Alligator mississippiensis: one gene and its partners. The protein of the gene in region 3 interacts with the protein of the main gene of each other region in a pairwise test. Links are inferred from orthologs where the notes say so. Each region holds a gene or a part of one and is shown on either strand. Other genes may lie near its edges.

What was found.
Region 1: the proteins of SDCBP (region 3) and FTH1 interact in a two-hybrid assay, tested with the Homo sapiens proteins (2 studies listed by BioGRID and IntAct). The two-hybrid records come from large-scale screens. The link is inferred for Alligator mississippiensis from reciprocal best matches to the Homo sapiens genes SDCBP and FTH1.
Region 2: the proteins of SDCBP (region 3) and SMARCA2 interact in binary tests that used the Homo sapiens proteins (3 or more experiments, as listed by UniProt). The two-hybrid records come from large-scale screens. The link is inferred for Alligator mississippiensis from reciprocal best matches to the Homo sapiens genes SDCBP and SMARCA2.

The regions. Positions count from the first base shown.
Region 1 is NC_081825.1:179,164,327-179,174,693, reverse strand, and holds the start of FTH1 (ferritin heavy chain), read left to right. Parts: upstream 1-6,011; 5' UTR 6,012-6,174; coding exon 6,175-6,285; intron 6,286-8,128; coding exon 8,129-8,275; intron 8,276-10,071; coding exon 10,072-10,197; intron 10,198-10,367. UniProt on the Homo sapiens protein: Stores iron in a soluble, non-toxic, readily available form. Important for iron homeostasis. Has ferroxidase activity. Iron is taken up in the ferrous form and deposited as ferric hydroxides after oxidation. Also plays a role in delivery of iron to cells.
Region 2 is NC_081826.1:191,851,556-191,861,471, forward strand, and holds the start of SMARCA2 (probable global transcription activator SNF2L2), read right to left. Parts: upstream 4,357-9,916; 5' UTR 4,254-4,356; intron 3,448-4,253; exon of another isoform or gene 3,351-3,447; intron 2,810-3,350; exon of another isoform or gene 2,261-2,809; intron 1-2,260. UniProt on the Homo sapiens protein: ATPase involved in transcriptional activation and repression of select genes by chromatin remodeling (alteration of DNA-nucleosome topology).
Region 3 is NC_081826.1:69,522,379-69,532,789, forward strand, and holds the start of SDCBP (syntenin-1), read right to left. Parts: upstream 4,358-10,411; 5' UTR 4,249-4,357; intron 762-4,248; 5' UTR 747-761; coding exon 696-746; intron 1-695. UniProt on the Homo sapiens protein: Multifunctional adapter protein involved in diverse array of functions including trafficking of transmembrane proteins, neuro and immunomodulation, exosome biogenesis, and tumorigenesis.

The DNA of each region.
Region 1 (10,367 bases), on a different chromosome or scaffold from region 3:
AGCACAAAATAAAATTAAAAAAAAAAGGCACAATCAAATTAAATTGGATCACATTACAAAACTGACTTAATATACATAGACACTTTTTAACCATATTTTCCTAAGCCCTTCCTTATGCATTCACAATACAGCTGTTTGTCCAGCTGTTTGCACACTTTTTGCTGTCTTAACTTGCTTAATTTTGTTCTGAGCCAAAAGGGTGGGGCTCCCTTTTTATATAACCTTACATTCCAGGATCCCAAACCTGTACACAAGTACTTTGTGCATGTCCTTTTACAGCAGTGACATAACTGGGGGAGGGGCAGGCAGGGAGGACTTGGCTTGGGAAATAGAAGCAATGGCCCTTGGCACTGACTTGTGGGTGGGGGAAGCAGTTACTGCTGGGAGCTATGAGTTCCCGATCATGATCCCAGTAGCAAGCAGAAGTTGCTGGTTCTGCTTTGCCCCAGGCACCCCATTTCATCCCTATGTTGGTGTTTTGCTAGTTTTCCTTACTTCTTGCAGAGACAAGCAGCCTGAGGTGTTTATAGAAAGGCAACAGCAACTTCGTACCAGATACCAGTAAATCTGTATCTCACTCAGTCTTAGAACATCATAATGCTTTGCATTCTCAAGCACAAATCATCAGAGGACTTCAAACTGTGTAGCGCACACAAAATCCCTCCAGCCCTTATTTGAGGACTGTAAGTATTATTGTCCCTAAAACTCCTGATATCCTGGCCTGTGATCTAACCACTGAATTACACTCCCTCCTGTGCATAATGGCTGAACTGTATATAACATGGGAGCTGGTTCCATTTTTTTCCATGGGCTCTTGTCCAAAGGTAAACAGGAACTGCCTTCAACAATCTGGAGCATGTGTAGGCAGATAATACATTTATTTCTGCCCATGGGCGGTATGAAGAATGGTTCTATCTCGGCAACAATTCAGTCAACAGTAGTAGCAACAGCAGCAGCTCAGAGCCGATATGGATACAAATCTAGGGTGCATTGGCTTCACATTAGCAGGGTTGCTGGGCAATTGTGAGGTTTTTATAAGTAAAGGGGTTGTTACTGATTGCCTAGAAGGAATAAGTTTGGACTGTAGTGTTCTTTTCTTTGAGCACTGACTAAAGCACTGCAAAACCATGCCAAGATTGAAAAAAAAAAAAAATGGAAACTGTAATTGTGAGCAGTTTCATGTATATAACTATGAACAGTAATCAACTAGAAGAGAAAAAAATTAAACCCCTGGAAACAATAGTCTTGGCCAGTGGTTTTCAACCATTTTTCATTTGCTTTGCTTTCATTTAATTTGCCTAACCTATTTTGAATGGAGGTACAGACCCCTTTGGACATTTTGAACGGAGGTGCGGACCCCTTAGAATTGTAAGTGTGGGTATTCACTTACTTTTGATTGATCATAGTCATCTTTTGTGGACCACTTAGATATACTCTGTGGACTGCTGGGAGTCCATGGACCACAGGTTGAAAACCCCTGGGCTAGGAAATGATTGTACAAAGCACCATCAAGACTTCAGGAAATGATTATGAAGCATGGGTACACAGGAAATATGAAATACAGGTCAGGTAAGTGGTTTATAGCAGGACTGTCTTATTATAGCCAGAAGTTTTAAGGAAAAGAAGGTGAAGATAATGTGACACACACCACCATTTCTAAAACAAAATTGGGCAAACCCAAATGAAAAATACAGCCCTACACAAGCTTGGGAGAATAATTCTAAAGGGATAGCCAAAAGAAGAATCTTAAGTACTTCAAGCTGAACTTTTATTGAAACTATGAACATGAAATTGTCACATGTGATGAATTCTGGATAAAGGACACTATTGTAAAACCAGACACTGATGTTGGAAATGCACAGCATACTCCACAGTGGCCACATGGATATGAAGTGGAAGGGCAGAGCCTGAAATGTCTGGTTCTAGCTGAGCATGAACACTATAATAGAAAGTAAAATATGTAAGTGTGCAAGTTACAACCTGCGTAAGCAGAGTTCAAAAGAGCCAATTTATTTATTTAGCTAATGCAAATCTGGGAATCCAAGCAATAGCCTTCGCTAAAAGAGCCGATGAAACTACATGGAATCAGAACTCGTGGTAGAGGTGATATCTTTTAAAAATTATTTAATTGCAAGCTTTCAGCAATTAAAGATTTCTTTTTTTTTGCAAAAATCTAGTTGGCCTAATAAAAGGTATCACCTCTACCACAAGTTCTGATTCCTTTTGCCTCCAGACCAATACGGTTACACTTTGGATACCTGACGAATGAAACTGCGTGACACTCCTAGTCAGCCTTAGCCCAAGGACTATTTGAATCAAATGTAAAGATTACCTTTCATTAGTGAACTACAATTGAATTGTTTTTTAAGCAGAGGTGTTGCACAATACTTCAAATAACAAGGCAAGAATGTGTTGTAAACACTAGGAGGTGCCAGAAAGTAAATAAAGTGACTCACAATTTACCAGTGATTGAGATGGCATTTCTTGCCTACTCAAGGGGTTAGCAGGAATCAGTTCAAATAGCTCAGAACTTGATTAAGAATGAAATCTTTGCAGGCTGAGTATTGTTAGAATACTACAACACACTTTGAAATGATCTGTCACAGTCACCAATGTCCAGGTTTATCAGGGACAGAGAAACAATAACCAGGATCCAGCAAGCTTCTCGAGTCAAGCATAGTAAGTCGGAAGTAATTGCAAAAGGAGCAATGTACCGGAAAACTAGAACATGAAGAATACTAAGAAAAGAATGTCAAAGAGCTATCTTATTTGTAAGTTGGGGGACTGTAAGGTGTGTGGGGAAGCATGGCTAGCAACCTGCCAAAGCAACTGATGGGCAGTTCTAGAGGAGGGTCTGAAGACATCTACACACCACCAAAGTGTACTATCACTGACAATATCAAATAAACTCTTGTCCTTTTATCTGGATTCCTGTGATATTTGGTGTATTTCTTGAAGTCCTAGCTTCTAAAATCACAGGTTTATGTGGTAACCTCAGCTTTCAATTGAAAGAGGAAGCGCCTAGCCTTCATGGTTACGTTTGTGACCCAAGTGCATGCAAACAGCTCAGTAACCATGCAACAATTCAAAGAATACAATGTTTATTTATCAAAGAAAAAAGGAAAGAAAATCATGGTTTTTGAATTCTTGGGGTTTAGTAGTACTGAATGAGACAAAATATTCATCTTTACAAAGGGTGCAAATTTTCTACCTTTTTACCTAAGTTTTCATCCTTGACTTCCTACTTTATTTTTAAATGGCCATGTTAATTTTTTATTCTTATTTTAACTCCATTCATGTCTTTATTTGCATTCAATTTGAATTAAAAAGGTATGTACTCCATTAACTGTGCAGTCAATGGATGCTGACACCTCTCATTATATAACCGTAATGCAGATCAGTGATTAAAGCCAGGAATATGTTCCGTTTCTTACTAGGCTTCTTCTTTAGTGTCATATCCTCCTACATCATTGCCCTGCTACAACTTGCTGTTCACTTCTTCAAGTAGGTATAAAATGAACTCCAGGCCCTAATGCTAATCCCAGTAACAACTTGGATGAGTTGCAGTATTTTACAATTACATTTGTTCCTGCTGACTTACCAGGAACTTTGCCCTTTATATGATGGTTACTTATTTTCCTGTAAATAGCACCCAGGTCAATAGGTTTTTCACACTGTTCCTCTCCAGTTTAAAATAGTTCACTCTTGTTGTGTGATCTCCATGAAATCTCTGCCTATTGTGATGTCAAACCTGAATAGGCGATCATTGTTACCCAATAATGTAACACTCATTTCCTGTGTAAGTCCTCTCATCTTCAAAACAAGCCGCTCGAAAAATAACTGATAAGTGGGTTGTGATTATGAGGAAACTTTTTTTTTCTAGAATACCTTAATTGTTAGGCAGTTGGGTTGTTTAATATTGTAGTAATTAAAGCCAACTAGTTTTAATTCTCTTGGAACAACAGTAACCCCTAACTTAATTTCTTTCAGGTCCTTCAGGCAAAATTGTGTTGTTTACTACTCTGGGACTGATGATATCATGGGAGTGGTATAGAGGTAAATAAGGGCTGCATTTGCCTTTATTTTACAGTCTGGAAGTTTTGGGTCATTCTGGCTTTTTGAATTGTTTTTTATGCAAGGCAATTTAGTTGTTGGAAACCAACTACCTCAGTTGCGATACCAATGCCCCTCTGCTTCACAGAAGGAAACCAGATCTGAGCACTGACAGACCCCATCTCAGGACAAAGCATTCCCATGCTTCCTTATTTCTGTTTGTAGCCAGCCCTCCATAAAGCCAGGGAGAGCCACAGAAGCCACAATGGCAACTCTTTATTCAAAGCGTTTGCAGAGCTCTGTGTGATCTTCCGCAGGAGAGACACTGCAGAATGTCTTGTCACGGAGCGCCACAGGCGCGGATGTGCCCTCTGCCACAACATGTCCCCCTGCCATGAAAGTGAAGTCTCGGTGAGATCACGTCATGAATTGTGCACACGTAGCCGCTCTTTTTAGTGGACTGAGTAAGAATGACTCCACTCTGGTTTCTTAGGTCCTACATCACATTGAAAGCCGAACGGAAATCCCCAAAGGCTCAGGGGCAGTGTTTCTGGTATAGGAGGAGACCTGCCTTGGGGTGTCCACAACCTGGGTGATCATGCGGCCGGAGGGGGGCGCTACATGCCAGTGGCATGGTTGTGTATGTGTATCTGCATGTGTGTGGGGGTACAAGGGGCACGGGACAGTAGTATGGTTGTGTGTGTATTACAAGGGACCCTGGCTGGCGGCATGGTTGTGTATGTGCGTGGAGTACAAGTGGCATGGGACAGTGGCATGGTTGTGTTTATATTTGTGGGGGGGGGGGTATAAGGGACTTGGGCACTCGACATGCTTATGTTTGTGTGTATGTGCATTACAAGGGACCCTGGCGAGTGGCATGGTTGTGTGTGTTGGGAGGGAGGTACAAGGGACCCAGGCCAGCGACATGGTTGTGCGCATGTGCGTATGGGTGTTACAAGGGACTCTGGCCAATGGCATGGTTTTGTATGTGTATGTGTTGGGGGGGGTAAAAGGGACATGGGCCAGTGGCATGGTGTGTGTGTGTGTGTGTGTATGTGTAGTAGTCATTCTGGTGGAACTCAATCAGAGTTTGCAGGTTCTCACTCCAAATGATGAAGATGTCATCGATATATCGTAAGTACAGCAAGGGTTTGATGGTACAGTTCTTGAGGAAGTCTTCTTCCAGGTGGCTCATAAAAAGGTTGGCATACTGTGGGGCCATTTTAATGCCCATAGCTGTTCCCATCGTCTGGAGGAAGTGTTGATTATTAAAAGTGAAATTGTTGTGTGTGAGGGTGAAGTGTATAAGCTCAGCGATATCTTTGGGTCTGTATTCTGGGTTGTAATCTTGTTCCTGTAGATATGTAAGGCAGGCATGGATGCCATCCTGGTGTGGGATGTTGGTGTATAGGCTGGTAACATCCATGGTGGCTAGGAGTGTGTTGCTGGGAAGGTGGTCTATGTTTTTAAGTTTCCGTAGCGTGAGTGTGCGTGCGTGCGTGCGTGCGTGTGTGTGGCGGGAGGGGGGGGTACAAGGGACCGAGGCCAGCTACCTGATTGCGCATGCGCATGTATGTTGCAAGGGACCCTGTCCAGCGGCATGGTTGTGCGCATGTGCACGTGTGTGACGTACAAGGGACCTGGGCCAGCTGCACAGCTGTGCACGTGTTTGTGGTGTGCACGGGGCCCGGGCCAGCTGCCCGGGTGTGGGCGTGCGCGCGTGGCCCAGGGGTAGCAGCGCCCCAGGCGCAACCGCCGCCTCGTGCCCAGGCAGGGAGGGGCGGGGCAAGCAGCCGTGCGGGCGCCTGCTGAGTCACACCGCGGTGCCCCAGGGAGCGCGCCCCCCTCGCCGGAGCAGAAGGCTGAGCTGGGCGTGGCCACGACGTAACCCACGCGCCGGGGCCCCGCCCACGTCGTGACGCGCCGCGGTCTATAAAGGCAGCTGCCGCAGGGGGGGTTGCGCTCAGAAGGCACAGTCCCTTCGTACTTGTAGCCTAGCAAAGCGCAGCGTCGCGCCAGCCTAGCGGGGGCGGTTCCTGCTTCAACAGTGTTTGGACGGAACCTGCCGCCGCTTCTGCCCGCTCCGACCCTCCTCGCCGAAGCCGTAGCCCCGCCATCGCCATGGCCACGTCCCCTTCTCAGGTGCGGCAGAACTACCACCAGGACTGCGAGGCCGCCGTCAACCGGCAGATCAACCTGGAGCTCTACGCCTCCTACGTGTACCTCAGCATGGTAAGCGCCCCGTCCTCGCCCTCGGGCCGTACCAACCCCCTCCGCGGGGGGCATACCATCTCAGCGCCGTGGCTGGGGCGACACATACCACCTCAGAGCTGGGGGGAGTACCAAGTAGGCGCCGCGGAGGCTGGGGGGGCTGTACCAAGTTGGTGCCCGGAGTGGGGGGGGGGCGGGAGTGGTGGCGGCCCCGACCGTGGCGGTGGCGCAGTTGGTGCCGCCCAGCGCGCGGGGCCCTGCAGGGGCTGTTATCGCGGGGCCCGGCCGCACCTGGCGCGCGATAGCGGGCGGCGCCGCCCCCCTCCCTTCTCCTCCCCGGGGAGCCCGCAGCTGGGCCTCGGGCGCACAGGCCTGCTGCTCCCGGGCTGCGGCTCCCCTGCGCTTAGTGCAGCGCATCCCGGGGCTGGTGGGCGCCAACTGCAGTGCTCTAGCTGGGCTGTGCCTTGTGGGTAACAAGGCCGGGGGGGTGGCTCTGAGCCCTAGTGTGGAAGAGCAGGGGTGCATCCTTGTGCCAGCTCCAGGCATCCGGGCTTGTTCAGAGCGGGATTCGCTACTGCGGCCCCTCCCCCGGGCTCCTGACTTGCCAAGCGTGTTCCCCACGGTGCAGCCGTGCGTAGTGCCTTGGTTGGCAGACATCTTCTCCTCTCCCAGCACATGCAGGGGCGTGCCTCGCACTTTACCTTCTGAAGCTAGGCTCAGCAAAGCGAGGTTGGCCCCAGAACTGTCAAAATCGCCCTCTTCATGGATGTTTGGAGTAGCATTGCTCTCTAGACAGCCAGTCTGAGTGTTGGTGTTGGGTGGGCAAGTAAGATGGGGAACATGAACACGGCACTGTCTCCCTGCTGCAGTTGGTCTTCCAGCATCATTTTGGGAGAGGCTGAGGCACCCTGGGCTTTAGTCTGGAGAAGACTGAGGGGATTTAGTAGCCTCTGACTACTTGCAGGGAGGTTGAAGCTAAACCAGTAGTTCTCAACCTTTCTTTTTTTCCTCCCCCCCATTTGTGACCCCCTAAAAACTGTAATGGTGGTACAGGCCCCTTTGAATTGTAAGTGTGGGTATTTGTATACTTTTGATTGATCATAATCATCTTTTGTAGATCCCTTAGACAAGTTTACAAACCCCCAGGTGTCCATGGACCATGGAGTTGAAAACCACTGAGCTAGACTGTTCTGAGTGGTGGCAGATGATGGAACAGGGAGCAACAGTCTCAAGTTGTATAAAGGGAAATTTGGGTTAGATATTAGGAAAAGCTTTCTCACCGGGAGGTCAGTAAAGCACTACAACAGACTACCCAGAGAGGTTGTGGAGTCTCTATCCTTGGAGGTTTTTAAGACCCAGCTAGACAAAGCCTTGGTTGGGATGATCTAGTTGGGGATGCTCCTACTTTGAGCAGGGGTTGGACTGGATGTGACCTCCCGTGGTCCCTTCCAACCCTAGTTTTCTATGATTCTATAATTTGTGAAGTGTTGCTCAGGTGAAGAATACCCATTTCAGTCTTGGAAATCTAAGCTATGATTATGTCTAGACTTTGGTCACAGCATGAGAAAGAGGCATAGTGAGCTACTTAATATCTGGTATTGGGTAGTAGAATAGCTGAGCTCTTGGTGGGAGCTGTCCCACCAATCTTGAGGGCAGTTAATAGCCATTGTCAGTTGGTTAAATGGCAAATTACTACAAGCTCTCCTACCAGTAAACTTTTGCCATCATGGCAGCTGCTTCTCCGTTGGTCTGGCTACTGTATAGTTAGGGCAATACTGAGAATATCTGGGTTTGTAGCAGATTTGCTCCTTATAGCTGTGAGACTTGTTGGCCAAAGTCTTTAGTATCTTAATTTTGTTTTCAGTCTTACTATTTTGACCGTGATGATGTGGCTCTGAAAAACTTTGCCAAGTATTTCCTGCACCAGTCGCACGAAGAGCGTGAACACGCTGAGAAACTGATGAAACTGCAGAATCAGCGGGGTGGTCGCATCTTCCTGCATGACATCAAGGTGAGCAGCACTGCAAATGCACCTCAAGGACACAGAGTACATTGGACCTGCAGCCAACCTCTGTCTTCTAAAGCTAGGCCCAGGCTGGAAGGGGAGGAGTTTCTAAGTCGGTGCAGACTGTCATGACAGTAAGTGAGGGACTGGTGAACAACACTGACCTGACGGCCACTCTAATGCTGGTGTGCGTTGTAAAGAAAGGATGAGATGTGTGTATAGGGCTGGAGTTGCACTAAGCAAGCAGCTGTCTAAATTTTTCTGCTGGTCTGTTTTGTGAGGTTTACACAGGGGCATTCCCTCAGCCCAGCTTGTGCTTTGTGTTGCAGTGATGTGATGTTCTTTTTAGATCCATGGTTACCATGGAAACATGGAAATTATGATGGTGGTTCCAATGGCATGCTGTGCCTTCACCACAGGATCCCGTAGGAGTAGCTGAGCTGGGAGCTGGTACTGAACAGACCTTCAGCCAGTATAGATAATCAACCTGAGCCGCCATGTGTTGTGATTCTGACACTGCAATGTTCCAAGTTCTTCCTTATTGTGGAAGTATCTAATGTCAAAGCAAAAATGACAAATACAAGAGAATACTGCTATAAAAAGCAGGTGCATAGTTTTCTATCCATCTTATTTTCATGCATTTCCTCTTAGTCCCTTCTCCCTGCCCCCTATTTCTGTACCACAGTGGGAACCAACCTTCTTAGACAGGCAGGGTGAGGGACATACCTGCCATATTCCATTTTGATCCCATTCCTTTGTCTGATCTGCTGCTTTCTGCATCTTGCCTTATCTGCCACTGTGCTGCCAGCGCCCCTCCCCAATATGCTGCGTGCCACACACAGGCTGTTTATGCCACTTGTGGCATACATGCTACAGATAGACCATCCCTTCTGTACCACATGCTCTTAAATTGGGCTGTTCATGAGTATATGTTCTTAGGTTTTTTTGAGAACAGCAGTAACCATGTGAACTTCACTGGTTCCTGAATTAAATGTGGGAGCCAGGTTCCCAGCTCAATCCCCATACCAGGTTCTGGGTACTCATCTCTTCCTTTTTACACTCATTCTGGAGTTACTCTTGACTCAGATCAGTGACTTCTAGTTGAAGACCCTGTAACACTTAGGGTGCTGGTGAGTCTTCCCTCATAACACTTCATTCAGTCTTGCTCTTCTAGCCTATGTTTCTTGTCCAAGTGATGACATTTCAACATGTCAAGTGTTGAGGTTTCTATGTTTAGAGAATCTATCAGTACCTAAAGAAAGAATAAAACCACTGACTTTCAGTAAAGCTGATAGAGCTGTTCATATCTTATTAGTCCTTCCCATTGGACTATCAGCACTTCCTAAAAGGATAGCTTTTGGTATGGTTATCTGATGTTAAAAGGTGATGAATACTAATACTAATGAATACTTAAAAACAAGCAAAACAATGCCTTCCTCCCCCCCCCCCCACAAAAAAAAAACAACAAACCACAAAAAACAAAACCCAAAAAACCAAAAACCTGGATAGATGAGTATTTCTAGTAACCAAGTGTTCTCTATGGAGTATGTGCTGGAATATGGTGGTCTATTTTTAAGAAGCACATGGATTCTCAAATGCCTTCTCCATACAAGCGCTATCAACTCTTCAAGCTTACTATCTTCTAAGGTGGCTTTTAAACTTCAAAAGTAACTTTCAAGCTGAGATCCTATCAAATCAGGGTTTCAGCATGACTAAGAACAAAGATTGCTTTGTCTCATTGACCTACTGCTCCTGTGTTTGGTCTCTAGAAGATTAGTTGAGGTCTTGTGCTTTCCTCATAGAAACCAGACCGTGATGACTGGGAGAATGGATTGACAGCAATGGAGTGTGCCTTGCATCTGGAAAAGAATGTGAACCAGTCACTCTTGGAGCTGCACAAGCTGGCAACTGAGAAGAATGACCCTCACGTAAGTGGAAGTTGAAACATGGGTAGAATATGGAGGTCTAAAAGGGTACAGTCGCACACAGTCTTTGGCCCCATGGCCTGGTATCTCAAGAAAGCAGCAAGTATCTTACTACTTTGCCTTGGGCAGGGGTTCCCAAAGTTTTTATGCCACAGCCTGGCAAACCGCAACCG
Region 2 (9,916 bases), about 120 Mb from region 3:
AGCACCAAGAAACACAAACATAGAATAAAAGAATTTTAATTATTTGTATAAGCCTTCTCATGTGTGTTCCTAAATGAAAATTGCCCTTTAGAAAGGAATCACTAGATCACAGTATTATTATTAATCAGGACCATAAAAATTTGCAGAAAGTGCAGACTTTTTTTTAAAGTCACTACTGCGCACATTCTGATCTTAACTTCAAAGTCCAACAAAAAAACTAAAAAAAAAATACATTTGCAGATTTTAATTTAAGTTACAATTCTGTCAAGGATATATTAAATATAGGAAATGCTAGCTGGAACACTTTTTTCTTGTCAATCTCAAGCCTCAGGTGTTGGTCAAAGCACTTTTCAAACTTGACAAAAAATGCTCACAGACCACTTCAGAAATGAACAAAAGAAAAGATCTAAAGACTACTTTGAACATACTCTTGTGGTGCATATGTTCTATGAAACACCATAGTAATGTCAGTCCTAGAGCCGAGCCATGCCTCATGAGAGAAATACTGTATTTAATAAAGCATTACCCTCGCCTGTCAAGTCCACATGTGTTACATGATACAGCTAACTTTGACTTTATTTAAAAATGCTCATTACCCATATAAACCCTTTGCTTTATATTACGGATGTATCACATATGGACACAAAAACCTGTCTCTAATCCTGTCCTTCTGGTACATCATTTTTCCCCCCTCAAGTAACAAAAGGACAAAAGGAAAAAAGTCAGGGGGAATAATAGGGCAATTAGGTCCCCAAAGAGAAAAAGTGTGCCTTGATTTGCATAACAATGCATTCACTCACAGAGCAAAAGCTGCCCCACCTCCTAACATGTAGCTGGTATACTACTAAAGGAAGGGAATTCTGGTTTAACATTCATTGTCCAGAACTCCTGGTTCCACGGCTGGAACTAAGAAAGAGTGAAGAAAAGGATCTAAAATGCAGGCACAAGCGCAAAGGAAACAAAGCTGGAAATGCTACATCACCCAGGCTGCTTTTGAAAGGAAATTAAAATGCCAGCTATAGGTTGTTACCATTTTTACACAAACCTTGTGCCTGTAACTTTCTACCTAACTTATTCACCAACCACCTACAGCCACCACCGGGAAAGAATGACACTCTCTCCTTACAGGACTTTTGATTATCAGACATGAAGGGGAAGACAAGAAAGGAAACTTGAAGAGGAGAACAAGGAAGGAAAACCAGCTCCAAGGCCAGCTCTAGCTTCACACTTTAGATTTAACCACAAGACTTTTTTTTTTTTTTTTTTTTTTATGCTTCTCCAAAGCACATGCACACTGCAGCAAAAAAACCCTCCTGGGTCAGGAACCCCCTGGCTGGTTTGGACTGGCTGCTCTCACACTATCACAGTCCTGTTGGGGGGAAGAAAATGAAGACACTGTATGTACACACATACATACATGCACACACACATACAATCACAAACCTGTTGGAGGAAAAGAAAATGAAGACACTATAGATACATACATACACATACTCATACTATCACAATCCCTGTGGAGGAAAAGAAAATGAAGATGCTATACATACACACACACCACACACATACACACATGTATACACATACACACGTATACTCACATACCACACGTACACACCACACCACACACACCCCACACCCATACAACATACCACACTACACACACACATATACACACACATCACTACATGTGTATACACACAATGTACACACACACACACACACACACACACACACAGAGCCAGGGCCCCAGAGAAGGCTCCTCCAGCAAGGAGATAATGCAACGTGGTGGAGGGGGAGGCAGGGCCATATGTCTTGCAGGCACACTAACTTCAGCCCCCTGGAGATCTCTACTCCGATCCCAGATTGGGAGATAGTCCCGTCCCCCCTCCCGCCGCCCCCCTCCGCTTGGCTCCATTCAATTGCCAGCTTTTTTGCTTTTTTTTTGTATATATTTTTGGCCTTCCCAACACCTCCCCCCCCCTCCGGCTCCCCCTCCAGTGACTCTTCCGGGACGCTGGGGAAATGCATAGGCCTCAACTTTGCCGCTGGAGCGCACGGATCCCGCGGCCCCGAGCGACATGCAGTGCAGGCACCCGGAGCCCGGCCACGTCCCCCAGCTCCCCCTGCCTTTCTGGAAAGTTTGAGCGCCGATCGACGGGCTCCGAGCAGCGCCAGCCCCGCTCCCCGCCCCCCTTCCCACCTCCACCTCCAGCCCGCGCCATGGCAGCGGAGCTCCCCCGGGCCCGCTCCGGGGCTTTACCTTCCCCCGGCCCCGACCTTCGGCCCGGAGCGCTCCCGCCCGCGCGGGGGGGAGCGGGCAGCAGGGTCGGGCGGGAGGGGGCAGCCCGGCCCCCGGCACAGCTAGGCCCGGCTCTCCGCTGCGCGGCTTCCCTCCGTCATCGTGTCATACTGATCAAACATGTCTGTGCGCGCCTGTGTGCGTGTGTGAGCGCCTGTCTCTGCCTGCTGGGACTTCCTGATTCTCTGCTGCCGCTACACACACACGCACCCTCACAGCCACCCCAAACCTCTGCTGCGACTGCCTGATTCTCTGCTGCTACACACACATACACACAACCCCGCACACACACACCAGCCCTCCCAGCCACCTCTTTTACACACATACAACCCTCACAACCACCCCAAACCTCTGCTGCGACTTCCTGATTCTCTGCTGCTGCTGCTGCTACATTCACTCACACACCACACACCACCCCCTCTGGCACACGCACACAACCCCTCCAAACCATCCCAAACCTCTGCTGTGACTTCCTGATTTTCTGCGTCTGCTACACACACACACACACACACACACACACACCAGTCCTCCCAACCACCCCCAAACCTCTCACACACCCCCAAACCTCTGCTGTGACTTTGATTCTCTGCTGCTGCTACACACACACAACCCCCCCACAGACATACACACACAACCCCTCTCACACACACCAGGCCTCCCAGCCACCTCTCTCTCACACACAACCCTCAAAACCACCCTAAACCTGTGCTGTGACTTCCTGAGTCTCTGTCAATGCTGCTCCACACCGTGCACGCACACACGCGCACACACACACACACAAAACCTCTCTCTGTGTCCCTCCAAAGCCCCAGCCACCAAAAGCAACAGAGGCTTAAATCCCCACTCCCCCTCCATTTCCCCTCCCTCTCTCTCTCTCTTTGCACTTCATCAGCCACCCAAAAACTTTTTCTGCCCCCCACCTCCAAAGCCCCCTCCCACTTGGGGCACCTCCCGCCCAGCTCCCCAGCCCCGGATCCGTGCCAGCAGGAAGAGAAAAGCGCCACCCCCTTCCCCCCCAGAAAACAAAATGACTGACATTTTCTGTGCCTACCGGAAATAAAATGCCGGGGGGGGGCCGGTGGCTTTGAAAGCCGGGGGGGGCATCTCGCCAGCGCTTGTTTGGTACCACTGCTGCAAGGCCGGGGGGGGAGCAGCAGCGAGCAGGGCTGGAGGGAGAGGAGCTATTTTAGGAAGTGAATCGCGACACCTTCCAGTCCCCGGCGGAGGGCACCGCCGGCAATTCACAACAGCCCGGCCGAGATGGGAGGAGGCAACAGGAGGGGCTGCAGCACCCCCCTCCCCAAGTCCTGCCCCCCCTTCCCCTGCGCGTGTCATGTTGGTGACAGTCAAGCAGGAGATTATCCTGCTCATGGCCTCCTTTGCTCAGCGGCTCGCTGCTGCTCCTCTCCCGCGCCCCCCCTCCCCAGCACGTCTGTCCAAACACCGGGCATGGGCAGGAGCCCACTCCGCACGGGCCCCTCCTGCTGCCCCGGAGCAGGGCGCGGGGAACTTCAGCCCCAGCAGGAGGCAACCTCCCCCTCCCTCCCACCCCCGGCAGAGCCCCCCGGGGTTGCAAGGTGAGGGCGGGGAGAAAGGAGACAAGCCGGCCCCCCTCGGCCCCGGGCTGCAGCTTCCCGCTGTCCATTTGTGTCCCCGGAGCCCGAGCTGCAGGCACTGTCGCCTCCTGCATCGCCTGACTCACGAGGCAGGAACCCGGGGGAGGCAGGCAGCAAAGGACCGGGCGGGGGAAGGAGAGGAGAGGACGGGAGGGGAAGGGGGGTCCTTCTTCCAGGTCCTTATTGCAAAAAGATATCGCAGCTCAAACTTTCTTCCTCCTCCTGCCGCTGCTGCTGCCTGGGGAGGGGAGATCGGAGGGGGGCCGGGGCTGGGGGCCGGGCCGGGGGGTGCAAGGCGGTGCCGAGCCGGCCGCGGGGCGCGCCGAGCCCCTATTTACCTGGCCCGGAAGCCGCGCGGCGCCGCCGGGGTCCCCGCTCCGTGTGCGCGAGCCTCCCGAGTGCAGCGCCCGCGCGCCGGGGACGAGATTATGAATATGACTTCATTGATGACAGCCGTCCCCTCCTTTCCCCCGGGCTCCGCCCCCGCGCCCCTCCGGCCGCGTGCAGCCATTGGGCGGGCCGCGCCACGCGGGCCCGCCCCCCGCAACTGGGGGGGCAGCGGATTGGCGCTGGGGGGTGTCACTCAAGCAGCTGCCTGTGGAGGGGATGTGGAAGAATGTGGAGGGAGATACACACACACATATACATGTACACACGTACATATACACACACATACCGGGGACGGGGTGCAGGGAGTGTGGGGGGCACAGCCTGCTGACCCCTACCCCTTTACATGCTCCTGGGCGCGCTGGGGGGTGCGTGGGCTGTGCGGAGAGACACGCCAGAGAGAGAGAGAGAGAGAGAGATGGATGGTGGAGTAGTAATAGTAATAATAGTACTTTGGGGGGAAGGTGAGGAAGGTGCTGGAATGTAACTGTGCCTGCCAGGGCGAGCCTGCAGGGATGGAGGGGGAGGAGAGGATGGGGAGGAGCGAGCTGACTGGTACTGGAGGCAGCTGGTTGTACCTGGTGTTTATGTTGGGGGGCAGAGAAGAAAAAGAAGGACATTATTGTCACACAAGCAGAAACTTTTTTATTCAAGTCCACTTAGATCTTCCTTTTGTGGGAAAAGCTGGGGGGGGGAAGGCATCAGAGAACATTCCAGCTGGATGTATCTGCCAGTCAGCTGGGCTTTCAACTTCCTGAGTGCCCCTGAAGGAAGATGCCTCTCCAGGAGCCCAGCTGGCTATTACTTACAGAATATTCCTTCAGAAGACCTGGTTGTTTTGTGTCTGAGCTGGAGCCCCCAACGAACCTAGTCGTCACATGTCACTTGCGTGACCAAAAAGGCTGTGTCTGTGTTAAGTGAGGGGTAGATCTGTTTTTTAGGGTCAGGACATGTCAGTAGTGTCATTTTCTTCATTCCACAGTCTCTCTATGCTTTTCCCCCTGAGAATTTCCAATATATCTGCTTCCAGCCTTGCCAGTGGACAAGCCCAGCATTGTGCAGTCGCAGTCCACTGACCTGAGCTGTAGGTTTAATGAAGATCTAAAAAAGACCTACAGAAGGGATGGTTTAATAAACAGTGTTGTAAAAGATCTCTAAGTTTGGTAGGCCTGTTATTGTACAGTCTGAATAACACAGTCACTTGATTGAAAATTAAAACCCAACCCTACTTGATTCTGTTCCTCTTTATGTAAATGTAATGGGCTTGAATCTTGAATCAGTCATTCTGAGTGCAGCGTGAAAATTTTGTTTTGGATTTTATTTGCTGCCCTAGAGTAAAATTTCACGTTAAGAGAAATTCTAATATTAAAATCACTCACTATATATTTGAGCAATGGTGTTTGAAATGCAGTTTCTTTTTACTGATCTTAGCGACCAACTGGAGTAGTTAAGGACCTGAAGCAATGCCGGGAGCGCTGAATGCTCCATATGGTCATTAAGTGACAGGTATTGTTTACATGTCTGGTCTTTTGCTGGTAGCATTAGGATTTGTAATGGCCCAATTATAATGCTGGGTGTACAATGCTAATTATCACTGATTCTGTAGTTTTTCCAGGATCTTATTACTTGATCATTAACTTGAGCTTCCTAGTTATTTTAAAGTGAGCATCAAAATGATAAAAGATAACTGCACCAAAGAGAATCAGTATTAAGACTGTACAACCCCAAGTAGCCAATAAAAAAGTTGTTCTTCAAAAGAGGAAGCAGGTATTGTCATGTGGTTCAACTGTATCTATAAGAAAGACATACTGGGGAGCAAAATCAATGAAATGATAGAGCTGAATGCAAATGGGAAACTGTGAGTCTGTAAGGAGAAAAAAAAAGCAGATGATCAAATACCCAATAGCAAAGGGTGCTTGTAACTTTTTTTTAATCTACTTAGAATAGGGCATCTCAATCTTAGCTTTGTGTCTATGGCTATGATTTACAATCCAGCATTTTAGAGATAAAAGAATGTAATTAACATGCTTGTGAGAAGCAGCAGAGCACCAATGCAGGGTATTTTTCCTTCCTTAAACATCATCCCTCCATTATACAAGCCACTTCTTTTTTTCCACAGCAAATCTGCAGGCCTTCTGCCCTTTATCTCTGCAGAGGAGAAAACAAGCCTTACCTAAGGGGAAGCTTGTATGCAAGGCAGCTCACCTGCATTGGCCTTGAACTCAGCAGAAATCAAACCAAATGGCCGTTGCTTTCAGTAGAAAGGATACAGCGAGGGCAAAGAATATTAAATTAATCTTTCAGGCAAAATAAAGTGTTCAATTGATGTTAGGGGTAACTGCGCTGATTACTTTTTGTTTGCTGGAAAACATACAGCAGCAGATTTTGTTTGAGGCTATGAGAACTCCAAGATGTTGAATGGATATATTGTTAAAGTAAAGTCAAGCTGAAGGCTTTTTTTTTCCTGTTGGACTTTGATAAAGTATAATTTAATCTCTCTATAGCCTGGTATCAAGGGGATGGAGTCTATCTTTTATGTTACTGCAGACATAGTCTGTTGGCAAAGAAAACTGGACTGAAGTTGATGAAATCATTCAAGAAGTCAGCCTATGGACTTTAGGTTGTTGGTTGTAGCCATGTTGATCTAAAGACATAGGCAGACAAGGTTTTTTGAATAGATGTGAGATCTTTTATTAGACGAACTAAATAGTTGGAAAAATTGTTTTTTGCAAGCTTTCAGGCACAAATACCCTTCTTCAGGCATAGGGAGAGTTTGTTGGTGTGTGTGCTCTCCTGGATAGAATAGAAGCTAATATGCAAAATGCAGCTCTGTGAAAATGCAAATGTGTGACAGTGAGATTCAAAGGGAATGAGAGACATTCCCTTGCAGCTCTGGCATAAACTGTGCCACCCTGGCTCCACCCTGGCTCAAATGGCTGCTGTCCCAGGCACATGTGTAGACTCTGCACCCAGGACTATTTGACTCCAGCGTAAACTACTCCAGAGTTTATTGCTTTGGATTAATTGCATGCACAGAATCACCCATTACAGATTAAAAGGGTAAATTACTCTTAAACTGATTCATCTCTTGTCCATTTCCTCCAAGGGGAAAATGTTAAGGTCACCTAAGTGAATGAATGCTTCAGGATGCCTCATGTACTGTAGAAAGAATTGAAATTTGTCTACATGAACCAGAAGCTACAGTGATATGAAAGTTTCCATCTCAGACCATGTCTACGCTGCATTTACATCCCTACATTTACAATGCGTACATATTCCAGGGGCCTTTGCAGCAGCATCCACCTTTCTGTCTGCAGTTAGACAACCAAGCAGTCCAAAGAGACTAATGTTTCTGCTACCAGAATCAAGACAATACTTGTAAGTGCTCCTGTACCCACTTCTGGAACAGCAGTCTCATCCCAGGGACACTTTGCACACCACCAACAGTAACACAACTGTCTTTTTGTTTTTTGCAAAAATATAAATATATATAACTTTACCTCCAACACTCTGCCAAGTGTCCCTTGTGGTTTACTTGGTAGATTAAAGCACATTTTACTGTCAGGAGCTGCTAGAAGTGCCTGGATTTGGACTTACTCTGGCAATTTGGTAACTGTTGCCTGCTCCCAAAACTTCTGTTGGCAGAAACAAAGAAGTATAATTGACGCAGTGCTCTTGTGTAGATATTCAGAATAAGGCCATTCCCACCTGGGAATTGTACTGCATATCTAAGAGCTTGTCTACACTATAAAGCCTTTGCTATTATATTTATGCCAAAGTAGCTTTGTTGACAGAGCCCCCTAGCAAAGACAGAAGCATCAGCCCATTGTAGTTATTTCTCTGCCATAATAGCTGCACCACCTCTCCAAACAATGTAAGCTGAGGTAGCAGAAGTCCTCTTCTGTCAGTACATCTGTGTCAATGCCAAGGGGTTTGCCAGCATAGCTACGTCAGCTAAAGGTTGCAGTCTATTCACATTTCTGAATGGAAATGATTACATCAACAAAGCTTTTTACTTTTGACCTGGCCTAAGACTCTAAGAGAATTTTACAAATATAAGAATACCAGTTTAGTAAACTTGTCAAATCCTAGCATAGACCCAACTATACCAGCAAAATTGAACTCTATGGGCATGTCCCCACATGCAGGGGCACGCGGTTCCAGCAGCACAAGTAGCAGTGGCAGAAATTTGTGCTGCTGCATTGTGCTTCATCGCATGCCCCTATACATGTGCTTCAGCACACAGCAAATTGTCCCAGGTAGGGGTAGGAGAGGACAGGGCTAGCACCTGTGCTGGCCCTAGCAGTATTACCTGGTGTCCTGGTGCAGCAAGGGTGCAGATCTGACAACATGGAGCCTGACTGGCAGCCAGAACATTGCTCTAGATGGCCAGCCCTCCGTGTGTTCCAGCACACGCTATGGATGCTTGCGCTGCACTGCTTTTTTCCCCAGAATTTGTTTTTGCCACTGGAGTTCCCCAGTAAGAAAGTTTGCCCTCACACTGCAAATTTGCAGCACAGAACACGTTTTAATGTTCTGGGAGTGTCCTTTGTGGTGCCGCAAAGAGGCTTGTGGCACCACAAACCACATGTGCCTGAATATCTGGATGCTCCCTTACTAGTACAGTAGATAAACCTCCGAAACTCTACTGGGGAAAGTTCAGTTTTATCAATATAACCAGTATTACAGGCATCTGTCAACACAGGCATCCTGGTCAGTGATCACAACTGTTCATAACCCTGACAGATGTAGTTATATCAGCTTGTAATATATAATTGTGATGGTAGAGAAGGAAATAGGAGAGAAAGGGAGAGACCCAAGGATAACCCACTTCTATCACTCACCTCAGCTGAAGCAGAGAACACCATTAGGAAGCAGGGTCCTGGGCAACACTTCCAAAGTAGCTGCTTCGTCCAGACTGGTGCTCAGCGGACCCGGGTAGGTACTTTCAGCTCTGGAGAGGGGCCATCCAGAAGAATCCAGAGTTTCAGGAGAGAGAAGACACTGGTGGAACTCTCTTCCCAAGAGTTCCAGGCAGCAGGTGATGACAGAGTAGACCTAGATGCACTGTTTGGCAATCAAAGGAATGCTGAAGAAAGCAGACATCCGGCACTGGATGCCATAATGACCATCAGGGACTCCAGAGCAAACAGCTGTGGAGGAGAAAGATAAATATCAGATGTGGCCAGGGCAGGTGTAAAGCGCAGGGAGGGATCCTGCATGAGGAAGCTGACCCCAGAAGGGTCCTTCTTTCTGTGAAGACTGTGGGAGAGGATGCAGAGGGGACTGCCTTGAGAGGTCAGGATCTCTCAAGGAGATTTGTTCTTGAACTGAGTTGAGGGCAATCTGGATGGGGTTGTTTCCCTCCTAAGGACCTTGCCACAATTTGGAGGTGGACAGCAGAACTCCCTGACCTTTGAGACAGCAGGAACTGATTATATATAGAGCTGGCCTGGAGAGGCCTGACTGGGGAACAAGAGCCTGAGTTAAGCCCAGAGGGGTGTGCCCAGTAGTGGCCATCATTTTCAGTTTCATAGTAGTAGCTAGGGTCAAGAGGGACCTGAACAGATCATCTAGCCTGACCCGCTGCCACAGGCAGGAATGAATGCTGGTT
Region 3 (10,411 bases):
AGAGCAGTCCATTTCCATAACATTAGAGATCAATTAACAATTAAAAACAGAAGATTCAAACGATAGTTAAGATTTTAAATTATGTCCCAATCTGTTTCCCTTGGGTTAGAGACCAGATGTTGAACATATACATGTTCTGGCATCTTACAATAATTTACTTTGAAATCAAAAACTTCAGGTAGAAGTAAGCAATTTGGCAGATATTAACTCCTTTCAATAATAACATGCACTCTAAGTGAGACTATGTGCATGGACACTGACCCAAAAGTTGAATAATGAGATTAGTTTTGTTCTCTGAAGCCTGGCAGTTTCTTTTCAGTGGCTTACAAAATGTTCTGATTTAACCTTATCAGTCAGCTTCAGACTCACATGACCAGAGAATTCCTCAACTTCAGCTGGATATCAGTGTATAAGTTATGGAGTTAAAAAAGCAGAACCAAATCATTCGGATCACATGGAAAGCATATTTTGAAATATGTGAGTTTTACAGTTGCGTGACAGTTTTGTGGGATGGAGGTCTACTTAATGTCAAAGAACAGGGAGCTAAACAACTGTTCTACTGCTGAAAAGTGATGATTTAGTAATGGACAAGTGGTTTTAACCCCATATTTTATATGAGGGGGAGGGGAACAATTTTATTACTACTTCAACCGTTCACTAAAACAGATCTAAAGAGTCTATACATTTCATCATACCTGAATTACTTTATCCACCTTCAAATCTTCCAGGGAAGGATAGAGCGACATTTTTATGTAATTTCACTAAAGAAAACAAATAAAATCCAACTTAGCAACTGCACACTTACAGATAAAGTTTTAGTTTGCTTGTTAGATTCTACCTATTAGAAAAGCTGATGCTAAAATACTTACAAGAATCAACCATAATACAGAAGAAAGATAAAGCCTTTGATTGATGCCTGTTGTTTGTTTAAAAAAAAAAAAAAAGTACTTAACGCCCCACTTCACCAGCCCTGTGCACTGGCTCCAAGGCCATTCAGGATTGTACCCCAGGCTGTATATGAGTACTGGCTGTACATGAAGCATGCAGCATCTGTCTGAGACCCACAGGTCAGATCCAGTCCACAGAACCCATGTTTGACACCCCTAAACTAAAGCATTTGAACAAGTTTCGCTGGTTAAGTTCAACTAGTCAACAATTCACTGATCAAAGAACTGGCTTTTATTATACATTAATGCCAATTTAAATCATATTAATAATACCAAGTGGTCTTAAATCTGCCAGAATTTGATAGTTGAGAACAACAGTGAGAAACTAATACAGGCAGTTAGGTCCCTTTTGTACAAGCTATCCCTTGACTCATGACATGATACAAAAGAAAGATTATAGACTTGGAGTCTCACTTAACCATGCATCGCCCCAAGGGATCATATGGAAAGTACAGTGAATGTACTCTACCTTCTCCTGGAACTGGATGGCAACAGGCCAGGCAACCAAAATTTTTCCAAGCCCCATGTATCTGAACCCCCACTGAAGTCAACAGGGGGCTCTACATAAGAGTAATATACAATTTTAGGGGCAAATTTATTGGTAGTTCTTTAAAAGAAAGCAATTTTTAAATGAAATTAGGATTAGGGATAGCAATAAAGCCTGTTGTTCCATATGCTATTTTCAGCCTTGGAATGATTCCCTCTCCTCCTCGCCTCTCCCTCATCAGGTGGGGAGGGGTAAAAGTGTAAAAATCAGTTTCATTTGGACTGTCTATTCCAAATAAATCTTCCTGCTACTTATAAAACGTATGCTCGTTTTAAACAGATTTGCAAATCAGTTGTCTGCGATAGAAACATGCATCCACCTTCAACAATATATAAATCTAAACTAATTAAGACAGTGGTTGTCAACTAGGGGTAATCATACCCATAGAGGTACTTAAAAAGGTCATAGGGGATATGCAGAACCAATGTGGCTGATAAATGACACATGCGTGTAGCTGCAGCACAGCACGCAGGTGACCAGGAGCATATCCAGGTCAGGCTGGTAAGTCTGTTGCGAGGGAAGGGGGGGAAGGGGTACTGAAAACTGATTTTAATAAGGAATTTCGTTGCATCTTAGGTAGTAATAGGTATTCCAATAACCTGACATCTCCAATAATGTAAAGAAGAGTTATATAAAGGGTGCAATTTTTAATAGTAAACCACAGAGACAAAAGTTAGCCTAGATAAAAATTATATTATTCTAGGAAAGGGATCCTTCCCTGCCATATGGGTCAAGTTTGTAGAAGGTCATCTTAGTCTATTATTTATATGCTTATTTATTTTGCATAAAATAGGTAATACAAACTAAAACAAAAGTAAACATTAACAGGAGTTGAGGAACAGGACCAGGTAGGAGAAAAATGGTAATAATCACCAGCACCCTTAGAAAGCTCCTCGTTCATATAGATTACTCGATCCTTAATTCTGATAACCTTTGTCTGGAGACTGACTGCTAGAGAAGTTTTTTCTTGTTCCTTTTCCTTTTCTATGATCTACTTGGGGAAAAATTTACCTGGAGGAACAGAAGTAGGACACTGACAGCTAATCACATGTACACTTCCATTTCCACTGGCTCAACTACTACTATCAAAAATGATATTTTACCTAAAAGATTAATTACTAGTTCAAACTTCAATGCAAAGAAACCCAGAGTTAGGCTAGAAAAATGAGACTTCCAAGAACTAGCAAATTCACAAGCCTCCCCTGTTCTGTCAAAGAGATATGTATTAAAGATATGAAGCCTGAATGTTTGAATTGTCACTTTGCCTACAAATCCTCAGTGACAAAGTATCTTTAGAACTTCAGCTTCCTGCTAGATGACAAGCCTTCTTTTTGGGCAAAACCTTGCAATAGATGAGCAGGTTGACTGACTTCCAACTGACCTGCCCCGACCTATCTGCAGCTGAAGCCAAAATTTCCACTGGTATAGAAGACAAGAAGAAAATCCCTCAGAAGGGAGGAACCACTGATACCACAGTGCCTGGCCCACCATTTTCACGCTAGGGCATTCATGGGTGAGGAGCCATCAGCAACTGCATCTTCATCCACAACCCACTCAAGTTGTTGCTCTCCTCTCAAACACTGGGCACCCTCCTCCTCTCCCCTCTTGTCTTCTATATTCTGATTTCTCTCTCTTCCCACTCTACTTCCTGCGCATTCTTTCACAGCATCTGATGAAGTGAACTTGGGTTCAGGAAAGCTTGTGCTCTCTCTCATATTTTTTCTATACATGCACATACACATATCTACACACGTCTGTGTAGATATGTGCACGCATGTGTGTACACGTTTATACACACAGCAATCAGGGCTCGTGGTAGAGGTGATATCTTGTACTAGACCAAGATTTTTGCAAAAAAAATTGTCTTTAATTGCAAGCTTTCAGGCACAAACACCCTTCATCACCAGGCTTCGGACAGAGGATTATAAAAGTTTCTCCGATGCCTGATGAAGGGTGTTTGTGCCCAAAAGCTTGCAATTAAAGACAATTTTTTTTTGCACAAATCTTGTTGGTCTAATAAAAGATATTATCACCTCCGCCACCAGCTTGTTTTTTCCTTTAGACCCGATTGCTTTTTCCTCTAAACCAAACCAGCTATGGCTTGGATACCTATCTACCTACACACACGCACACTTATATGTATATATCTATACAAATACAAGTACATACCCACAAAATAAACCTTGCGATTACAGAGATTTATCTTGTGTGTACATACACATATAAATACAAGGGGGGGGGGAATGTGTGTGCGTGTACACACGCGCACACAACGTTACGCCGCTAGCGTAGGAGGCTGCGGCCCCCGCCCGACCCGGGACACAGCCGGGAGCGGAGCAGGGCTCTTGGTTGAGGAGCGGCCGCGCTGATCTCGGGCCTCCTGCCGGGCCGGGCTGGGGGCGCCGCCGCCGCCCAAGCAGCCCGTGACGCACCGCTCCACGGCACAGAGCTGCGGCCCGCGGGCGGGACGAGGGCAACAAAAAGCCGGATCCCAGAGAGCCAGCCAGACCACCCCCCTCCCCTCCGCCACGCAGCTCCGACACCGCAGCCTCCCCCGGCCCAGCAGGGAGGGGTTGAGGCGGAGGCAGCGGCCGGGGCCGCCAAGACTAGACGCGGCACCCCTGCCCGCCCCGCCCCGCCCCGCCCCCCGGCGGCCGCGGGGGAGCCGTTCTCAGGGCAAGGGGGGAGCCGCTCCCCCCCCTCGCCCGGGGGCAGAGGTCCGGGCGGGGCGGGGCGGCGCGCGCCGCTACTCACCGTCCGGGCGGCCCGGGGCGAACTGCTGCAGCAGCGACGTCAGCTGGGCCTGGCTCCGTCGCTATGAGGCTACCAGCTGCGGCTCAACGGCTGGCCCCGCCCACGGCGCCGCGCGCATGCGCTGTCCGCCGCCCCGTGACGCAGTGGGGAGTCTCGTACGCTGGGGGAAGCCCGCGGGGGGGCCCGGGGGAAGGGGTGTTGTCCCCTCCCGCCTTGTCCAGGGCCCCGCGCCTGTCGCGCAGCCTGGCGGGTCGGTGTCCGATGTGCCGCCCCGTCGTCTTCTGCTGGTGGCTCCTCTGCCCCCTGCCCTGTTTCCTCGCACCCGTCTCGCAGGCCGGCCTCGCCTTGCTAGGGCTGCTGCGCTGCCGGGAAAGGCGGAGGAAATCAGTCCCCTGCTTCTGCCTCAGGGTCTCCCGCGCCTACAGCCGAGCCGCGCAGACCTGCCCCTGGGACACCCCCGGGGGTAGACCCAGCGCCGCCCCCGTGTCCCGTGTGGATGGGGCCAGGCTGGTCTCGGTGCTGGCAGACGACAGGACAAGGTCTCCGGTTGCATCCAGGGAGCTCTACGTTGGATATTAGGAAACAGTTTTTTCCTAGCAGGGCGGAGAAGCGCTGGAGCAGGCTCCTAGAGAGGTGGTGGGCTCCTCATCCTTGGAGGTTTTTAAACCCAGGATGGATAAAGCTTTGGCTGGGATGATCTAGCTGGGGACGGTCCTGTTCTGAGCAGGGGGTTGGACTAGGCCTCCTGAGGTCCCTTCCAACCCGGATTTTATACCATCTGTTTTGGAGACAGTACCATAGCCAGGACGTTTGGTGCCCAGGGCAAGCCCGCAGCAGCAGCCTGCCCTCACCCACCACGCAGATCCGGGGGCGCCACCCCCCATGCTTGTCCAGGAGTGCATGCAGCTGCAGGAGCTGCCCTCCCCCATCCCTGTGCCCCCCCAAATGAGCCGCTCACGGCTCCATCCTGTGCCCCGCCCTTCACTTTGGCACCCAGAACAGTTGCTCCACTCAAACCACCCGCCTTGCTATGGTACTGTTTGGCAAGGATGCTCCCCGGAGATCTCAGTGCAGCCTGCCCTCTTTGGGTATTTACACATGTGCAAGGTGGCTACTCTGATATGCCGTAAATGCAGGGCGTGGCAGCAAACTCGATTAATCTGCTGGAGTGCAGAAATTAACATGCTCCAGCAGCCTTCAGGATTGCTAGGGTTTGAATTACACTCTGACTCTTGGGGGGGTCTGCGGTGGTTGCAGCCAGAAACCAGAAGGAGTCGCCGCCGGAGCTGCTTAAAAAGAAGCAGGGTGGGCCGGGACCTCCCAGAACATGTCTATAAATGCCCTTTGTTTCTAGACACATGAATGAGACTTGAAACACATGTTGTTTTGATCACTGTTGCTCTTCGATACTGCACTACCCACTGCTTTTTGAAGTGTTGTGTTGCCTTTCCTAATTAAGATTTGTCATAGAGCAGTAGCGCTGGAAGGAACCTCCAGAAGTCATCTAGTGCTAGTGCTGAGGCAGGACCATCCCTATGCAAACCCATACTCCAACCTCTTAGAAAAACTACGGTTGACCCTGAGACAATGCAAGACATAACAAGCTCACCTGCCACATGCAAAGCAGGGGGACCACAGTGGCCAAAACCCTGCTTGTGGAAAAGGTTAATATACACTCAAGAGGTCCCTGGTAGAGGGCCACACCCCCCTTCAGAGGAAGGCAACCCACCCACCCAGTCATCACCAGTCTGATCGTGGAATCAAATTCCTTCTTGACCCCAAATATGGCCATTGGTCTGACCCTGAGCAGAGGGGCAAGACCGTCTATCCAGGACCCTGTAAGTCCAGCAGGAGCACTGGCATACCCCAGTCAAAATCCCTAGCCTTGGCTATAACCAACTCTGTGCCAATAAGGGAAAACCAATCCAATCTCTCTAAGGGAGGCTTCCTACATGTAAGGAACTCTGACATGTAACAGGTTATTGATACAAGTGATGTAACCAAAAACCAAACACTGCTGAGCCTCTCTAGAAACAGTCATTCAAACGTGTTTTCCCCATTGCAAGTGCATACATGCATTTTGAGATATCAGACAATTTTGAATCTAGTTATTGGTGTTCTGTATTTGGATCTTTTTTTTTTTTTTTTTTTAATGTGCAGGGTGGGGGATGGCACTTTCATTAGAGTGGCTTTGAGAGCCGCACAAATTAAGGTGCTGCAATGTCTCCTGTATCAGCATCCCCACTTTTAAAAAGTGGCAGGGCCACTGTAGCTAAAGCTCATTCGATGAGCTATAGTTCAAGTGCTCCCACCACCATTTTTAAGTGTGGGGATGCTGATACATGAGTTGCAAGAGACCACTAGAGCATAGCAATTGCCAAGCATTGAGTCCGCTCTAATGCGCAGTGCATCCGATGCATTGGAGCAGCCTCCGTGCTTGTGTATAGGCACCCCAAGTGTTAGGCCATAACAATGTAAGTGACTTAGAGTCTACAGATTTTCATTACTGTAACTGCAGCTCCTATAGGTAACCCAAGCTAATATTAAGTTTAGCTAGTTAATGAACAACTAGCAGTATAATCCATGAAAGCATGATACACTGTGCAAGCTAGCTTCTCAGGTGAGTTTTGTAGTCAGTGTGTCATGCTGTCCTAGCTATTACCTAAGCTATCTATTATAAAGCTAACTTTGTCAGTAATTCTCAACAAGGGTACCCCGAGGTGTCCCCAGATCTTTTGAAGGGTGCCATGAGGTGTGGGGAGATAAGCAGATAAGCACAGGTTCAGATTTGTCCCTACCTGGCCAGTCCTCCACCACTACTGCCCAGTCCCTCTGCAAGGAAGGAAATACTGCACTATATAAATTAGCTTTTAAAATGGAAATACCATATGGAGGGGTGTTTTGAGTCCAGTGAGGGGTGCCTTCTCTTCAAAAAGGTTGAGAACCACTACTTTATGTATAACTGGAGTGCAGTTAGAAGTGAATGCACTTGACATACTCTTGAGCATATTACATCAATGCTATTACCGTCATCAGTTAAACTTGCAATCTCATCAGAACAGAATATCCGATGAATTTTACAGGATCCATTTCCCATAAATTCAGGTTGACTGGCAGCCATTGTATTATCCTCCCTTAATTATTTATGAATTGCATTCCATACTAACAGTGCCATTATTTTGTCTGGATCAAAGCCAGGCTGACAAGTTTATAATGGCTTGTCCCATTTAATCCTTTAAAAAATGTTGGCACAACATTAGCTTTATAGAAAGGGCTTCATTTGCTATTTTTGCTGCTGTCATGCAATCACGAGTAGAGTTTGAATATTCCCCAGCCCATCTGAGTCCACTTATGTGGACCAAAAGTTCCCCAGTGAGGCTTTTCTGGGCTGGTTTTGATTGTCCGCTCTTGAGTCCTCTGTCTCTGGCAGACACTAAGATAAGTCTGGAACAGCACTGGGGGACAAACCTTCTGAGCATTGTGTGCGGGCTGGGAGCAGTCCGAGGCTTTCAGGGGCGCGCGGCGGACTGTGGCCAGCAGCCCTGGCACGTGGGTTGGGGAATTCGGCACGGCGGACTAGAATTAGGCACGGATGTGTAGCGGTTGATTAAAGATTATTTTACTTACACTGTAGATGGTCGCGGTGCAGGCAGGAAAAACTTCGCTTAAGTTGCAGTTACAAATGAAAAGAAAACTCGCTCGAACAAGACCCGTAGAAAACTTGAGCCTCTTAAACCCGGAAAGAGCTCTGGATACACACACACGAAGTTTGCTAGGCTCCGTGGACCAAAAGCGCACAGGGAAGGGTACGTCGAGGGATTAGGCGGCGACAGGGAGAGGCTAGAGGTTGATCAGGCCCCTGTATTCTCCTCTAAGGCACACGCGGGGTTTGTTAAGCTCCACAGCACTTAGAGTTCTCCACGAGATGGATGTGGAGTCCTCCTAAATGAGGTCCTCCCTGGAGATCTCCAACTTAGGCGGAAACCGCTCAAGCCTCTTATACGGCTAGCAAGCCAATTGCTAGCCGCCATGTGGGAATAATTTAGAAACAGCCAATAGTGGGACACAAATTTGCATGCGAATGGCGGGAACTCCTTTGCACCAGGGTTTTCTCTATGCAACTGAGAATTGCACCATGCAAAGAAAGCTCCTCGTGGCAGGAAATAATTCTGCAGTGCCGAAGCACACACAAAATCATACCCTTGGGTCATGACACATAGTAGCACATCAGTGGATTGGAGTGGGGCAAGCTCACCCCTGCCTTTCTTGGGGCTCCCTGCTGATGTGGTGTAGATAATTTATATATATTTATAGATGGTTTAGAATTTCCTTATTTCTACTGAACTTTAAGGAAAGCACTTGTTAATTTTATTTATCATTTTCAGAATCATTAATATTGTCATCTGAAGACTTATTTAATAGGACAGCTGCCCACTTCATGGCTCTCTTGGTGAGCTTGGTGTGTAAGCATAATTAGTTGCTTAACAGAAGGGAAGTAAAAGAGTAAAAAACTTTGGGAATGGGAGAGAAAGGGACATGCTGCTGAGTATGGAGGGAAAGGGAGGGGGAATAATTCTTGATTTGGGAACTTTAAAAAGTCTCTAGCTGCTGCTCTCATGGCATGGTCCAAAAGGGGGACGGGTATAACCTCACCACTGCACTGATCTGCCCCTGGATTCACACTAGCATGAGTCCATCATTGGTCAGTGAATTGTAGAGCTGTGACCTAAATTAATGTGGGAGACAAAAGGAGTACGTATAATAACCACACAAGACAGAGAAAGGGAGAGGTAGTGTACTGATTGCAATAATACCACTTAATTACTCAGAGCAAACATAGACATTATCAATTTTGTGCAACTGCTGTTGGACTTTTCCTCACCTTTTATTTTACCATAGAAATTAAAGTCTTGTCTGTCATGGAAAACTACAATAACTGGAGAAATAGTTCAATGGCAATTTGAGAGCCAGTGAAAGCTGAGAGGAAGAGTTTTTAGTTACGCTGTTTAAAACTTTTGAGTTGTATTTAACACCAACATCCAAGTAAATGGTTCTTGAGTTGTTACCACAGTGTTTGCTAACTCATACAGTTGAATCAATTCAGTATAAGCATAAGGGGATCCTAACAGTAACTACATCAAAGAGTAATATTTATAAGTTATTACACAAAGGTCCAAACTTTCACAGCACTTTAATTACTAGAATTGTTTGGAAAATTAAAATCTATTTTTGTGGAAAAACGTCAGCATTTTTTGGTTCAAAACCTATTTCTTATTTTTTAAACATTTTCCTTTTTTTATTATTTTCACCTCCATTACCACTATTCTGCCCTAGTATCATGGACCGGCCCTGAACAGTGATCTCTCTCACACTGGAGAATAAAAAGAATGCAAAAAGGAGTGAAGAAAAAAAGGAGAAAGTGGATGTTTCTTTAATGGATTTTCTTATTCTGGGTTTAACAGGTCTGACATGCTATGAAACTATTTGCTAGAGAAATGTACCTTAGCAACTTGAGATACAAGAAAATATGAGGTTACAGGAACAAGAATAATTAGATATTCTCATAGGAACATCATCTAAATATCCAAAGCTAACTGCTGGATGTAATGTACAACCCCTCCTTCCAACCACCCTCCACCTAAAAAACCCACAACAGAATGCAGTTAATGTGCTTTTAAAGCATGCTTTTGAAGAGAAGAGCATTTGAAAAAGTTATTTGCAAGTAATTACATTTATCCTAGTACATAATCATGCACCATTTTAAAATTCTTTTTGTTTTGATGCTAAATGAGTATCAGAGTCAAAATGGGCAGGTTGCTTTTCCAATAATTCATTTCCTGGAGCTCAGTCCTGAACTCCTTGTTCATTAAACATAATAAGAGTTTTTCTTGTAGAAGGATTCCATGATTAGATCTATTGTATGAGAGCAGAGCAACACCTGGTGAATTCATCAGCTTTTGCTTACTCAGACTGGAACACCCTACACCAAGTGTCATGATTATTTTTCCATTGTTGAAATACACTTTTTTTACCATTGTTTTCATGCTAACTTCCAGAGAACAACGGTCTCCATGCCTGGGAAATAACAAATCACAAGCAGCTGCAGAGTTTCTAGTAAAGTTGCCTGTGGTCGTATTAAGGCTTTCACTTCAACTTAAAAGTA